Linked DNA regions of Lonchura striata. The protein of the gene in region 1 purifies or fractionates together with the protein of each later gene. This does not show direct contact. Links are inferred from orthologs where the notes say so. Each region holds a gene or a part of one and is shown on either strand. Other genes may lie near its edges.

Region 1 (7,348 bases):
CTACTCAAGTGTTTCAGCAGCATTGTACACGGGACCGAAGCCACCAACACAAGCAACCAGCCTGGGTCGGGCACCACAGCCCACCTAAAGGTGCTGCCAGGATGCCCCTGAGCACATTGCAATCCAGCTCAGCTGGGTTGGTGTTCTTATAATCCATTTGCATATGTCTGCACTGTGTCTCCTACTAGTACCCAGAGCCACTGGCTCTTTTTTCCAGAGCATACCAGCTCCTCCAATATTCCAGATAACAGAAACAATTTCCACAGCAGAGGCAAACTGTCTTTGTCCTTTAAGAAGGTGGTGTCCTTTGTTTCCTGGCTTCCCTATCTCACAGTCATACCATGTACCAGGTATGTTTATTTTTACTTTTACATCTCCTCGTTCCACCATTATAGATGTTAATCGGTCTGTCAGAGGTGGCACAGCAGGCTGCAGGAGCCTTCAGTGTGCCCTGGCATGATCATTGCTATTGCTGCTGAACCAGGTGTCCACTTATTTCATTCAGGATCACTCATACAGGTCCCCTCATCCACTGACACTGCCTTCTGCCAGAGGTTCCCAAGCCCCAGGGGAAGAATACACACATACAGTTCTCTGGTGCAACATCAGGCACCAATTCATTAACTACCTGAACAATCAGATTCTGTGCATCAGTGACAGAATCCCACACTCCTGTGTGGGATTTGCTGCACACACAGAAGCAAGTCTGAGGGCACAGGGACACCTGAAACTGCCACAGTTGTGTCCTAGGTGAGCATATGTCACTGCACCTAAATCCATACCTCTACTGGAGTTTGTCAGTGCACCCATACCAGCCAAATCTTATTTTAAAAACCCACTTTAGGTCAACAGGTAAGTTCAGTAAGAACATATGTTGTATTTGGTTTTGAGAAGGAAAAAAAAAAAAAGCATAACACTAAGTATGGAGCTGTATCAGGGAAGGTTTAGGTCAGAAAGGTTATTTGCCTAGAAAGTGACCACACACTGGAACAGGTTCACCAGGGCAGTGACCACAGCACCAGCCTGACAGAGTTCAAGAAGCATTTGGACAATGCTCTCAGACACATGGTGTGATTCTTGAGCTCTCCTGTGCGGGGCTAGAAGATGGACTTGATAATCCTTGTGGGTCTTTTCCAGATCAGGATATTCTATGATTTTCTTTCTGCAGAATGATATCTAGTTTTTTTCCCTACCACATATATGCTTCTTATGACAACCATTTCCCACTCATCCTTCTGATGGATCAAACCTGGAAAAACTTGTAAATACTGACCATGACTCTCCACCCATTCAGTCTAACAAGGATACTCTTCCTCCTACATTCTTTCTCATAAAATTATACACAGACATATGCCATTGAAAAGTCCCTCTATAGTATCTACTGGGGGCACAGAGAGAGATAAAAAATCAGGAGCTGAAAATCAAGGCACAGTATTATCAGATCCATCTGAAAAAGACTCTTCCCTTTTTTGGATTCCTCACAGAAAATACAGCTACAACTAACACCCCTTTTTAAATGCCAGAAATATTCCTCCCCTAGTCAGAGGGTGCTTTCACACTCAAACAGAACCACAGAATCAATTAAGTTAGAAAAGACCTCTAAGATCATTACATCCAACCTGTGACCAAACACTATCCTGTCAACAAGACCATGGCACTGAGTGCCACATTTCAGTCTTTTCTTAAAAATACCTCCAGGGATGGTGACTCTACCACCTCCTCGGGAAGCCCATTCCAATATCTAATTATCCTTTCTGTGAAGAAATTCCTCCCAATGTCCAACCTGAACCTCCTTTGGTACAGCTTGAGGCTAAGTCCTCGGGTCTTGTCCTGTCTCTGGTTACCTGCGAGAAGAGGGCAACCCTCACTTTGCTTCCACCTGAACCTCCTTTTCCCAGCCAAAACAACCCCAGCTCCCTCACCCACTCCTCAAAGGACATGCATTCCAGATGCTTCGTCAGCTCCACTGCCCTTCTCTGGACATACTACAGCACCCAAATGTCCTTCCTAAATTGAGGGGCACAGAACTGGAGACAGTACCCGAGATGTGACCTCACCAGTGCTGAGTACAGAGGGACAATCACAGCCCTGGTCCTGCTGGCCACACTATTGCTGATACAGGCCGGGATGCCATTGGCCTTCCTGGCCACACTGACTCATGTTCAGCTGGCTGTCAACCAGCACCAGATCGTTTTCCTCTGGGCAGTTTTCCAGCCACTCTTCTCCAGGTCTGTAGTGCTGCCTGGGCTGGTTGCGACCTAAGTGCAGGACCTGGCACTTGACCGTTTTGACCCTCATACTGTTGGGTCTCGGCCCATTGATCCAGCCTGCTCAGATGCCTCTGCAGAGCCCTCCTGCCCTTCAGCACACGGACAGTACCACCCATTCTGTAAGGAGCACGCAGGCAGCAAAGCTTTGACGTATCATTTGTCCTCGCCTCTCTTAGGACTGTGTGTGGTGCCCAAGTGCACACTGCAGCCAGGTCAGCTCCCCACTGCTGCTTCCAGACGCTGCAGAGTCTGTGTCCTGTAAAACAAGCTCAGAGCCAGCCCCAGAAACCTGTGAAGTCAGTTCAGGTAGCACCGGGACATGAAATTATTTACATTATAATTATGCTGTGCATAAAAATAAAGCTAAGCAGAGCTACGGGCACGTTAGTCCTTACGTCTGCCTTGTCAATAAACTGGTTTTAAAAATAAGTCTAATTTCAAATTAAGAAAATAGGTTTGTTTTTTTTCTTTTTTTGATACTTGGCATGGAGGTCTGTATGTATGCAAATACATATAAACACACAGAGAGACACAGACACACACGGACATGCACACACCTACACAGGCAGACACACACACAGACACACCCGCGGCTCCTCCCGCCGCCGTACAATTTAAAAGTGCAGCCAAGAGAGGACCGAAGGCAGCGGCTCCCCCGGGGCCGACGGCGGCAGCGCCGCCCGCGCTCCCACCCCGGGGCGCCGCCCCGCCCGGACCGCGGCGGGCCGGTACTCACAGAAGCCGTTGGAGCCGGTGCTGGTGAACATGGCCGCGGCCCGGCCCGGCGGGCGGGCGCGGCCGGCGGAGCCCCGAGCTCGGCAGCCCCCGAGGAGCCGCGGCGCGCCGGGGCCGGGGCCGGGGCCGGGGCCGGGGCCGGCGCGGGGAGGGCTAAGGCGGCCGCGATGGGCCAAACGCCGCCGCCAGGCGACAGGGCGGCGCCCCCTGCCGGGCCCGGCGGGTGAGCGGCGGCGCTCCGGCGCGCGTGTGTTTTCTGGAATCACTCCTGCTCCCAGAAATGGGAGAAGCCTCTTTCCGCTGAGGGAGGCAGAGCATTGGGACTGGCTGCACAGGGAGGGCGTGGGGTCTCCCTCTCTGGACGCGTTCAAAACCCACCTGGTCACATTCCCGTGCCACCTGCTCCAGGGGACCTTGCCTTGGCTGGGAAGTTGGACTAATCCATCTCCAGAAGCTGCCGCTTCCAGCCCTAACTATTCTGTGATTTCATGATTTAACACGATTTAAATTTTAAATATGTAGGTGCCCTGAGGAAGCCTGACTCCTTGCACTTGGGAAAACTGTCCCTCAAGGCTCACCGTGATTTGGGGAGTCCAGCAGGTAAATGTCTCATTAGAGCTGTGGGTGAGCTGTCATTACAGCTAACAGAGACAGAGCTAATACAGACAGCGGAGTTTGGAGAGCTTTTCAGGTGGCCAAATGAAGGTGTCTGCTTTAGGATCAAATTAATTCCTCCCCAGGCTCCACCAAGGGACCACATTGAAGAGATCACCACGGGCTCTGATGGCACATCTGACTCCAGCTCTTCAACAGGATGGTAGGCACCATATTTCAGCTCACCATATGAGGTGAGCTGAAATCCCGATTTCAGAGGAGATATGGTATCATAAGGCTGAAACTATTAGGGCACCAAATTTCACTGACATTTTCAATGAAAATGCAGAACTCAGATTTTACTGAAATAAGTCATGCTAGGCATTTAAAAAGGTGACAGTGCTTTGCAGCACGAGCTGTGTGCACTTTGTGTTCATGTGATGATGGAAATGCGGGCCTCAAATCACATTTACCTTACTGCAGTACAAGACTGAAAACCAATGCCACTCTGGAACTGCAAAATATAATTTGTCAGCTAGGTAACAATTTTTAAGTAGGCAACCAATAATAAAAATTTTTAGGTAAGTAATATATTTCTTGTATTCCATAAATTTTGTAATATATCATAAAAATGCACTTTAATATTTGCATTCAAATGCAATTATTAGCTAGCATTCCAGAGTACTGAGTTCCTGAAACTTTGTAAATTTAATCTCTTAAATACTGCCAAGGCGACAGTCCGCAAAGACTTCAGCTAAGATTAGCATATCAGCATGTATCTTTTAAATGGCCAATTTCCAGCACTAACTTCAGATTTCTGTTGCTCACTTGTCCTCTCTGTACAAGGCCTGCATCAGGTAGGTGGGATTGGGACTCATAATCCGCTCACAGAGCAGAAGGTATGTCTAAACCAGCCAGGAAGAAGAGACAAAGAGCACATTAGAAATCCTGACTTATCCCAAGTTGAGGTTCTTTCCTCTGAAAAGAATCTAAATTGGATTCACAGCATGAAACCCATCACATACTTTGTGTCTTTGGCTACAGAAAACCAGCTTACTCTCTGCTGTCAAAGCACAGCTGGAAGAAATTATTTGCTACAGAATTTTTCCTTCTTTCTTTCAAATGCAAATGACTGTGGCTGCTGTATGCTACATATGCAAACTCTGTCTTGCCAGTGCACTGCTGAATGCCTGTAACCACACAAAAGTGACAGGCAACCCTCATTTCTAAGAAATGGAAGGTAAATAAGGAGGTGCAAAGCCTGCAAAGCTTGTAAGAGCTCCAGCGTGAAACCTCTTTGGAAAAGCTTGGGTGCCTTCTGAAGCTGGGATCTAATGAGGTACTCATGGCTTAATTAATTACGATTTTGAATGTTTTCGACTAACCTCCACTTAAAGTAATTAAGCCTTTTTGTGGATCTGGCTTTACTATAGGTGAGGATAAAACCTATCCAGTATCTAAACTTTTCCAGAATTGCCTTTGTAATAGGTTTAGGAATGTTGTTTCAGTGGTGAAGATAAAGCTTGTTTTTTTTTTTCTTTTCACAGGCTCTCAGAATCGAGTGACAGAGCAATCATTATTTAGAAGTTTACAGTCCTAAGAGCCAAGACCTAGTATTTTTCTGTTTTATAGGCTCTGCTTTGAAGATTTCCCTAGATTGATGTACTGCTAGGTAATCATATTAGAGGGATTCTTCTCTGCAATGTAGGGCACTGGAATTGGATTCAAGTCATAATCACTGAACATACTAGAGACTTAGGCATGTATTCCACTGAATGAGGATGCATTTGGGAAATGTTTAAGGGCCAGTTTGAAAGCAGCTCTGTGGCCTTGCTATCATTGACAGATACAGCAAAGCTGGATGAGTAGCAATATCTGGCAAACCAAAACCCTTGCAAATTTGTCAATACTGCTGGAATACAGGCAACTGTCTCTCAATCTATTTGCTGCTATCTTATAAATGTCTACAAATATATTTCAGAATCTGTGAAACCCCTGATGTTTTTATCCCTTGTTTAAAAAAAAAAAAAAAGTCAATATTTCTGAGATTACAGCAGATGAGATCCACTATGTATTTTTGAGAAAACTGCACATCCCTTGCTAATAATTATAGTTTAACATATTGATTGAATAGTAGAGGAAATGTAGTTTTTGCCCTCAGATTCAGTGCCGAGAAGAGAGGTATTTTTATCACAACATCATCACTGTCAACTGGTAGCATGTCATAAGAATTAAACAAATTATTTGCATTGTTAAGTATAAAGTGTTGACTACTTTGGAGTTAAATGAAATCATCAGTCCTCATGCTTGCTTTGGAACATATCCCAGAATAGGAAGGCTAGCACTTATCTACTAATCTACTCAGAACAAGCTTAGAAGGCTTTGACACTGCTCAAATGTCAGCTTGAATATCTCCCATTTGTTTATTACATCTAGTTAGTGGGGTCAATGTGGTATGGTCAAAAGAAAGTTATTTAAATTTCCTGCTCAAAAGTAAATCCCAGGAGACTGGAATTTAAATTTCTAGCTATTTTCTAAAATGATTAAGTTGCTTTCTTCTCTGAACTTGTGATGTTTCTGAAGCAATTCTTAATTACTAATTAATCTCCAACAGTCAGATGCTCCTCTGGCATATAGAATGAAGGACAGCAGCAGAGTAAAACAGGATGGAAATGTAACACCTTGCTTAGGAATTTTCTGACTAAACTCGGTGTAGGTTAATGATTCCGCAGGTTAATTGCAAGTGTTCTCTGTCTCTTTGACATCTAGGGTTTCCAAGGCATTCATAGCAGCTCTTGCAGTTATTACAATTACCTGAAATATGAACAGATACATAGAGGTTAATGCTAAATTTAATGATTTCAGTAACTCCTCCCTACAGTTTCTAACCTTTGTGTTTGGTTACAGAAGATGTTAAGGAAAACAGCTGTGCAACACACATTTCCTGCAAAAATCCAGGAGCAGTGCAGCTTGCTGATAGCAGCTTGCTGATAGCAGCTTGCATTGGAACAGGAGGAAGGACAGAAGGCAGATACTCACTCTGCTGAAATCAGACTGATTTGACCTGTACCTTTCCAAAATTAGTGAATTTCTTTCACTCATTCGGAAGTGAAAAATACTTTATGCTGCAGCAGACCTGTCCTCTTAAAGTCTAGTGTGTGTCTAACATTTCATTACATAGTTTTGGGTTTTTTTACTGGAGCTAGAAGATACAGAATGTTTTCTAGCTTAGCTCTTTCCAAGTAGAGCTGGTAGGCGTACCGTTAATAAGGAGCAATGGAGTTCCTGAAGGAGTATTGGGCTTTGTTGTATATTTTTGCAATTGATTTTCCATCACACTATTATAAAAAAATTTAGGACACTCTAACATGTTCCATTAGTTAAGGTTCTCGCCATGTGATTTTTGCAAAATTTAAAATGCTATTTTAAACCTGAATGCTATGTCAGTGCCTGGTAACATGAATGTGGGAAACTATTGCTTCAGTTACTCAAACACATCACTGCCTCATTTTTCAGCTGGACCCCCTGAATGGCAAGCAATGACAATGCAGTAACAATTTAAGGTACTGGCTTATCTGGAGCTGAGCCACATACAGTTTTACACTGCAGGTCTTAACCATCACTTCCCTTTTAACCATCAGTCATGTGATCCTAAGCACTGGCACCAAATGCACCCAGATGTTGGCATCTCTGTGTTCAAGGTGCAGCACCAAGCACTTGATCAGCAGCTTGGTCTCTAAGTACTTGTA
Region 2 (7,127 bases), on another chromosome or scaffold:
AAATTGAAGCTTGTACTTCTCCCCATACACAATTTTTAGCTCATTTTCTAACAGTTTTCTGTTATATACAGAGTAGGGTCTCTGAATAAAATAAGCAAACTGCCATTTTTTAAGTAATAAAAAGAGAGAAAATGTACTTGTTTTCATAAAGTATAATATGTTTATAATATATAAATATACCTATTTACATGAAGTCAAAAGCTCTAAAAATAAATGACCTTACTACCAAGTTACTTCCAGAAAAAACTAGCAACTCTAAGAAAGGGCAAAAACTGAAGCTCATACTGTTCTAGGGCAGATAGCAATTTATAAAGAATGAGTCACATCTCCAGAATTCAACTGCAGTAACTTTTCCTGAACCGAGTTAACCATCCATATAGAGAAAAACACTGATAAGAACCTCATGAGAGGTTCCAGCAAGGGAAAAAAAAAAAAAAAAAAAACAGGACAAAAGTCCAAGTAAAGTAGTGATGAGATAACAACATTTTTAATTCATATCCCATGGAGCAGAAACCAGAGACTACATGAAATAGCTGGATTCTGAATCTACTGATATAAATAATGTCTTGGAAATAAAAACAAACAAACAAACAATACAAAACCCAAACAAATAAAACCCCAAAAACCTGCAATAGAGAAGAGAAAGGCAAACAGGGTAAAAATATAATAGAAACCACAATCTTATATGGTTTGCTAAAACAAGTCTTTGTGAAAGTTGAAACAATGCAGGCTATCCCAGCTGCTTAATATACTGCCATGTGCTTTCCATGGGAACCACTTAGTGTAATATTTTGCAGAAAGCAGAACATACGTTAAAATACATTACTTTCATGTGATAAGATCTGCCACATGAGAATAAAGCATCCCACAAACTACCTATTGTTCTTTTGGAAAGCTACCATCTGAAACACCCCATTACAACAAATTGCACAGCCAGAAGGAACACTGCAGTTAACCTGGGACATCCACAACTTGTAGAAACACTGACGTGCAAAAGGCCTGAAGTGAGAACACTGGGTCTGTACCAACCTACACTGCATTTATTCCACCTGAAGTTTGTAAGCCGTTCCAAAATCTTGCTGCCACTCAAAGGAACAATTTGTGGTCCAATGTGCTCCCAACAGAAAACTAAGCCAGATAAAAGTAAGCACAGCTGGATGTATTATTTCAGCCTGCTAGATCTAATCCCTGGCAGATCAAATGAGTACAGTATCCAAGAAAGCAACAGTGCAACACACAGGTGGGGAAATACAGAGAAGGATGGAACTGGTCCTGAGAGCAGTGAAACGTCAAACCAGCCCAGCCACTTCATGAAGTTTGGGAAAACACAACTGTCATTTTTCCTCTGTGTTAAAAGAGACATGGCAAAGAATGTTACTGAATTAGAAGTTGCATTAGTATTGTGGATGTGGCATAACTAAAGCCGTTTTGCAATGTCTTAGAGATGTAGTCTTAGGCAAACAGGGCTCTTGGAAAGGAACAAAGAATACACAGCAAATTTACAAACAACTATCCACAACCATTCTAACATCTCATATAAACCATCATAATACAGCTGCTTTCACAAGAGACATTCTGAAGAAGATCCTGATAAAAGCCTAAGTAGAAAAGTAAAAACAACCTGAAAAATTAAAATATTAAAATATTTATCTAAAAAATTAAAATATTGCCGTTCATCCAATAAACTTCTGTGTTGATATTAAAATGGATAAAACCAGACAAGGAACTTGTCTGTATACATAAAAATTGGATGTGCATAGGTAGAAACAGCTGGGAGGACAGTATGGTTATCTTTTTATATACACACTCAACAGCAGTAAAGAACATAAAAATAAAGTTGCAAAAGCTCCAGCTGCAGAAATTCCCTGCTCCAACAATTCTGGTTGAAACGGATCTGGTAAAGTGGCACAAAGAACTCTACAGGATTTTCGTGCTATAGCTAAGGGCAGCCCTCAGCACCCTCGGAGAAGCGCAGACGTGGCTAATGACGTGTGTTCTCAAATGCCGAGACCAGCGTGAACTGAAACGATCATCTTCTGCGCCGTGCTGGAAAAGTGAAACTGCAGACTATCACACACTCACTCACCATGGCTACTACATACAATCGGACACCACACCGAGATTTTAAATCCTAAATAAAGGGTCCACATGCTTGAGAACACTGCATTGCAAAGCAACACTTTCAGAAGACAGAATCATGAAATAAAACTATTTCTACAAAAAAACAATACGGACGCAATTCGCATCTGTTGACGGGGGCGGAGGGAAAAGTGGGTGTTGCTTGTACCTCCCCCTCCTGCGAGCTCAGTCCCTGCCAAGCAATAATGCTTCGTTCCGGAACGCTCGGCAAGGATCCACGACATACAAAGAATTTTTAATTACCAAATTATAGGACTGACAAGGCTTTGTACCCACGCCGGGGGCAGGTTCCCACACACTACCAGCGCGCAGGCCGGGGGAAAGGCCACTACCGTCCATGAGCACCTCCGGGCCACGCAGACGGGACAAGCCGCGTTCCTCTGCCTCGGGCCGAGAGCCAGCGCGGCCGCAGAGCTGCCGGCCGCGGCGGAGCGGGCTCCTGCCGCCCGGGGCCGGAGCCGAGCTGCCCGGGCGCTGCCCGGCCGCCAGGTGCAGCAAGGGCCCCAGTTCCGCCCGCCGGCCGCCTCGGCCTCCGGCGCTCAGGGCCCGCGGCCGCTGCCGGCGCCCGGCCCGGCCTGCCCGAGGCCAGGACGGCACGTTCCCGGAGAGGCGGCCCCGTCAGGCGACACCCGCACGGCGGGAGAAAAGGCACCCTCACGCCATTCAGCGGCCCGACCCCCCTTCCCCGCGACTCCCGCCAGCTAGCGTGACCCAGCGCCCGACACGGCGCGTCCCGCGGGGGGAGAGGCGGGAGAGGCCGGCGCCGCCGCCGCCCGCCCCCATTACCTTGCCGCTCGGCGGCGCCGCCGCCATGTTGCCCACGAGTGTTTATGGTGACGTAGCACTCCTCACGTGCTTCCCCGCCGCGCCACAACAACGGCGCCACAGCTGCGTGCCGCGCATGCGCACTGCGCGGGGCCAGGCGGAGCCCGGGGCGGAAAGACCGTGAATGGGGAGCGAGGGCTGGCTGAGCCGAACCGCGGCCCGGCACCGGGAGCGAGGGCTGGCTGAGCCGAACCGCGGCCCGGCACCGGGAGCGAGGGCTGGCTGAGCTGTCCCGTTCCCAACTGCGGCCCGGCCCCGGGAGGGGGCTGGCTGCGCTGTCCCGTTCCAGAAGCGGTGGCCGCGGCCCGGCGCTCATGTTGAATCCCAGCACACACGCTCCCTCTGGGAGGCTGGCCAGTGTGGCTGCAGTGCCCAGCCGCGGGCCCCGCGGCGACCCCTCCACAGCGTGCGAGTACGGCGGCGAGGAGGAAAGGAGATTGTTCTTCGTCAGAGCTCCCTGAGATTGCAGTTGTAACTTGAGCAATGTTGTATAGTTGATATAAAACACACATCATACTCTCTCAAATTATTTTCTTTCTCTTTCCGCTGTTGTCATAGAATAACAGAATAGTTTGGGTTGGAAGGGACATTAAAGATCGTCTAGCTCCAGCCACGCTGCCATGGCCAGGGACACCTTCCACTGAATCAGGTTGCTCAAAGCCCCATCCAACCTGGCCTCGAACACTGCCAGGGACGGACATCCAGAACTCGTCTTTGGAACCCGTCCCAGTGCCTCACCACCCACACAGGAAAGAATTTCTCTCTAATATCTAAACCTACTCTCTGCCTGTTGGAAGCCATTCCCCCTTGTCATCCCCTTGCAAAAAGTCTCTCTCCAGCTAACTTTCAGACCCCCTTTAGGTACTGGAAAGTGCTATGAGATCTCAATGTTAATATCACAGTACCCACAGGCACTACTAAGCTGCCCTAATACTCATACACCAGATTTTTAATGTTAGTGAAAAATACAGTACTTTCAAGATGGTAGTTTCTAGCACATAATGCATTCAACACATCAAGGTACAAAGGAAAATCTTAATTACAATCTCATCTATTTTAGCAAATATTCGGCTTTCATACGTGTACAGATTTATAAAGCCCAAAACAATTCTGCAAAACTCAATGGATTTTGATTGGTCTTATTTATCTGAAACAGTATATTATGTGTAGTATTACTTTTAAAAAATTGTCTCTCACATAACGTCTGAAATATAATAAAGATGTTTTTTAAGACATTGGTTATATTCCAACAATACCATCAGATATTTTGAGCAAACAGTACATCCCCAAACACTGTTTATTTGAAACAGACAAATGAGATGCCTGCAGGGAAGTGATTTGTTTCTCTGAAGGAGCAAAGGTAATTTATTGGGTTTTGGGACGGGTTAGTTGGGGGTTTTTATTTCTGTCATAAAGTGGCATTATAATTCCCTTGTGACTTTTTGAATTAAAAACTCATTTAGTTACATTAATACCCATACCATACTTACCTCAGAAAACCAGATTTGCAATTTTCAAGACAAATACTGACCTGCTTCAAAGTTGGAAAAGCCTGTTGTGACTTTTTGTATATAAGCATGCATAAAGATGAGAAAATTAAATAAAAACACAGTCAGATGACAAGTCCTTGTAGTAATACCTAGGTCTGGAAAGCTGTATCAGTGTAGCAAAAAATGGACACCTTAACTTTGGTGGTCCTTTTATTTAAATTTAATAAGGACATGGTGTCCTTATTATTTAGTGTCACAGTAAATACAAGGGAGAAGGCTACACATTAAAAATGCATCACCATAAATTAATTGTTTTGAGGAGTGCAATTGTTTTAGCCATCTTCCACATCAGTTTCATCTCATTTGGTCTCCCATGTGTTCATTTTGATCCTTTCCTTTTCCTACCCTTTTCCTTTGTTTCTTACTCCTTGCAATGTAACCATACCTGAGTTTCACACCCATCTGTAATCCTATTTCCTCTGCACTTCCTTTTCATCTCTAACCTCCCTATAATTTGCAATGAACACTAGGGACTTCTTTGATTAGTTCCATTGCATCCCCTACTCTGGCTCTTCAATGAAACTGCTTTGTCAAGGTTTCTTTCCTAGGAGAAGCTCAAAATTGAGATTCACATTTCCACTTTGTTAGCCAAGCCACAATCTGCAATGACTCCTTGAGATCTGTTCTCTTTACTAGCATGACTGCCAGCTTCTAGTTCTCCTGTCTCTTGGACTTGTTCATTAGCATATTGAATCAAAGCCTGTTTCTTTGTAGGAAATTGTGTCAATAAATACATATTTATCACATGACTCATCACCATATTTCTACCATAGCAATTAATTGTGATCCAAATTAAAATCTCTTATCATTGTAGGCAGCTAACAGTAAAATAGTTTTACTTTCCTCCAAATTCTCTTGACAGTCATCTCTCTCTCTTCAATATCAATAGCCATATGTCTCCAGGGCCCACAGCTTGGTTGATGCCTTAGCCTTAGAGAATATTCTGGACTTTTTCATGCTTTACCTAACTCCCTTGCTGACATTTTCTAGTACAACAGCACTAAATCATAACTTTCCCCATCTATCCACACAGCTAATTATTTTTTCTTGTAACATTCTGTTTGCTGACAGTGACCAATACCATTTTGATATGTCCAGACTTCTGCAGAATGTTTGTGTCAATCATCCAGTCCATATTATTTTAACCCTCTCATCTGAATTCCTCCTGCTCATCTACCCACTCTCACCCTTCTACAGGGCCCAAGATAAAATGCCATTATTCATTTTTAGGACAATTACCGCCCACTCTCACTCACTGCCAAAGGACCTGCTTCTACCCAGTCAGCTCAATGCTAGACTTTGCCTATTATTTGTAAAATTTGCACACAAGTTGTATGAAAGGCTTTTTCCTCAAGCTGACCTTCATGGAGCTGTCAACTAAATAAAAAATTAAAAGTTAAATCCCATTTGTGCTGCTCTCAGCATGCCAGTCACCACTTACCTTGGTGTCAAGGCCAGTATGTTTCAGAGAACTCTCAGTCCCACAGACCAATTTACTCCATGAGATGTACATGTCCATCTTATAGCTACTTACCCAATCTTGGGCCTTCTCCCTTGTTGTTTAGCAAATTATCATTGCATAACAATGTGTACATTGTTACTAAAGATGAGGAGCAAAATTACTCTTTGTTACCAGGTTGCTCTATCAAAGGACTGCTGAAAGGTTGAAACTGGCAGGAATTTTTAGAGATCATCTAATCCAACCCTCCTGCCCAGAGCAGATCACAAATGATTACTCAGGGCTTTATAAAGTTTGAGGTTTGAGAATCTTCAAGAATATACATATCACAACCTCCTCAGTCAAGTTGTTTCATCAGTGTTTGGTTGCTTTTGGAATGCCAAAGCTTTTTCTTATGCTTAAATTGAATTTCTTGTATTTCACTTTGGGTCCATTTTGTCATTGAATACCACTAAAGAGACCAGCTCTGCCTTCTTTACTCCCTCTCATAATCTATTTTTAGACACTGAAAAGATCCTCTGAGCCTTCTAGAGACTGAACAGTCTGACATCTGTCAGCGTCTCTTCATATGACAGATGGCCCATTCTCCTAATTGCCTTTGATTGCCCTTCATAGGTCTCACTCCAGGATGTCAGTGTCTCCATTTTGCCAGGGCATCCAGCACTAGACCCAGCATTCCAGGACTCTCTCTGGAGGGTTGAAGAACTATCATCACCCCTCAGCTTGCTGGCAGTGCTCTTCCTGATGGAGCCCAGGATGGCTTTATTTTCTGGCTCGTGACTGACTTGTGCACAGTTTTTGACACTCAGATACCTTAGTGCAAAACTACTCCCTACCTACATTATTGATGCATTACCTTATTGCACTTTACAAACCTGAATGATACACAACAGCAAGTTCCACAGGCCGACATGATGCTGGCAGGTCCCTCTCCCTTCTCCATAAGCCTATTAAGAAAACAATGGAACAGTCTGTAGCTCTATGCTGAAGTCCAACATTTCACACGCTACAGGAATGGGCATCTAAGGAGGATATCTTTAGCCTGAGGGCTCACTCTTTGTTGGATTTTAATTAACCATCTGCTCTAACACTTCTGTCACATAAAAGGTAGTCACAGCACACCAGCCAGCACTACTGAGCGTACAGCCAGAGTG

The links. The genes of interacting proteins can lie anywhere in the genome.
Region 2: the proteins of UBAC2 (region 1) and TBC1D15 purify together in Homo sapiens (affinity purification with mass spectrometry; 3 studies listed by BioGRID and IntAct, counting the BioPlex papers as one, with this or other methods). This does not show direct contact. The link is inferred for Lonchura striata from reciprocal best matches to the Homo sapiens genes UBAC2 and TBC1D15.

The regions. Positions count from the first base shown.
Region 1 is NC_134604.1:78,098,869-78,106,216, reverse strand, and holds the start of UBAC2 (ubiquitin-associated domain-containing protein 2), read right to left. Parts: upstream 3,106-7,348; 5' UTR 3,038-3,105; coding exon 3,007-3,037; intron 2,527-3,006; exon of another isoform or gene 2,387-2,526; coding exon of another isoform or gene 2,380-2,386; intron 1-2,379. UniProt on the Homo sapiens protein: Restricts trafficking of FAF2 from the endoplasmic reticulum to lipid droplets.
Region 2 is NC_134607.1:45,544,439-45,551,565, reverse strand, and holds the start of TBC1D15 (TBC1 domain family member 15), read right to left. Parts: upstream 3,022-7,127; 5' UTR 2,953-3,021; coding exon 2,926-2,952; intron 1-2,925. UniProt on the Homo sapiens protein: Acts as a GTPase activating protein for RAB7A. Does not act on RAB4, RAB5 or RAB6.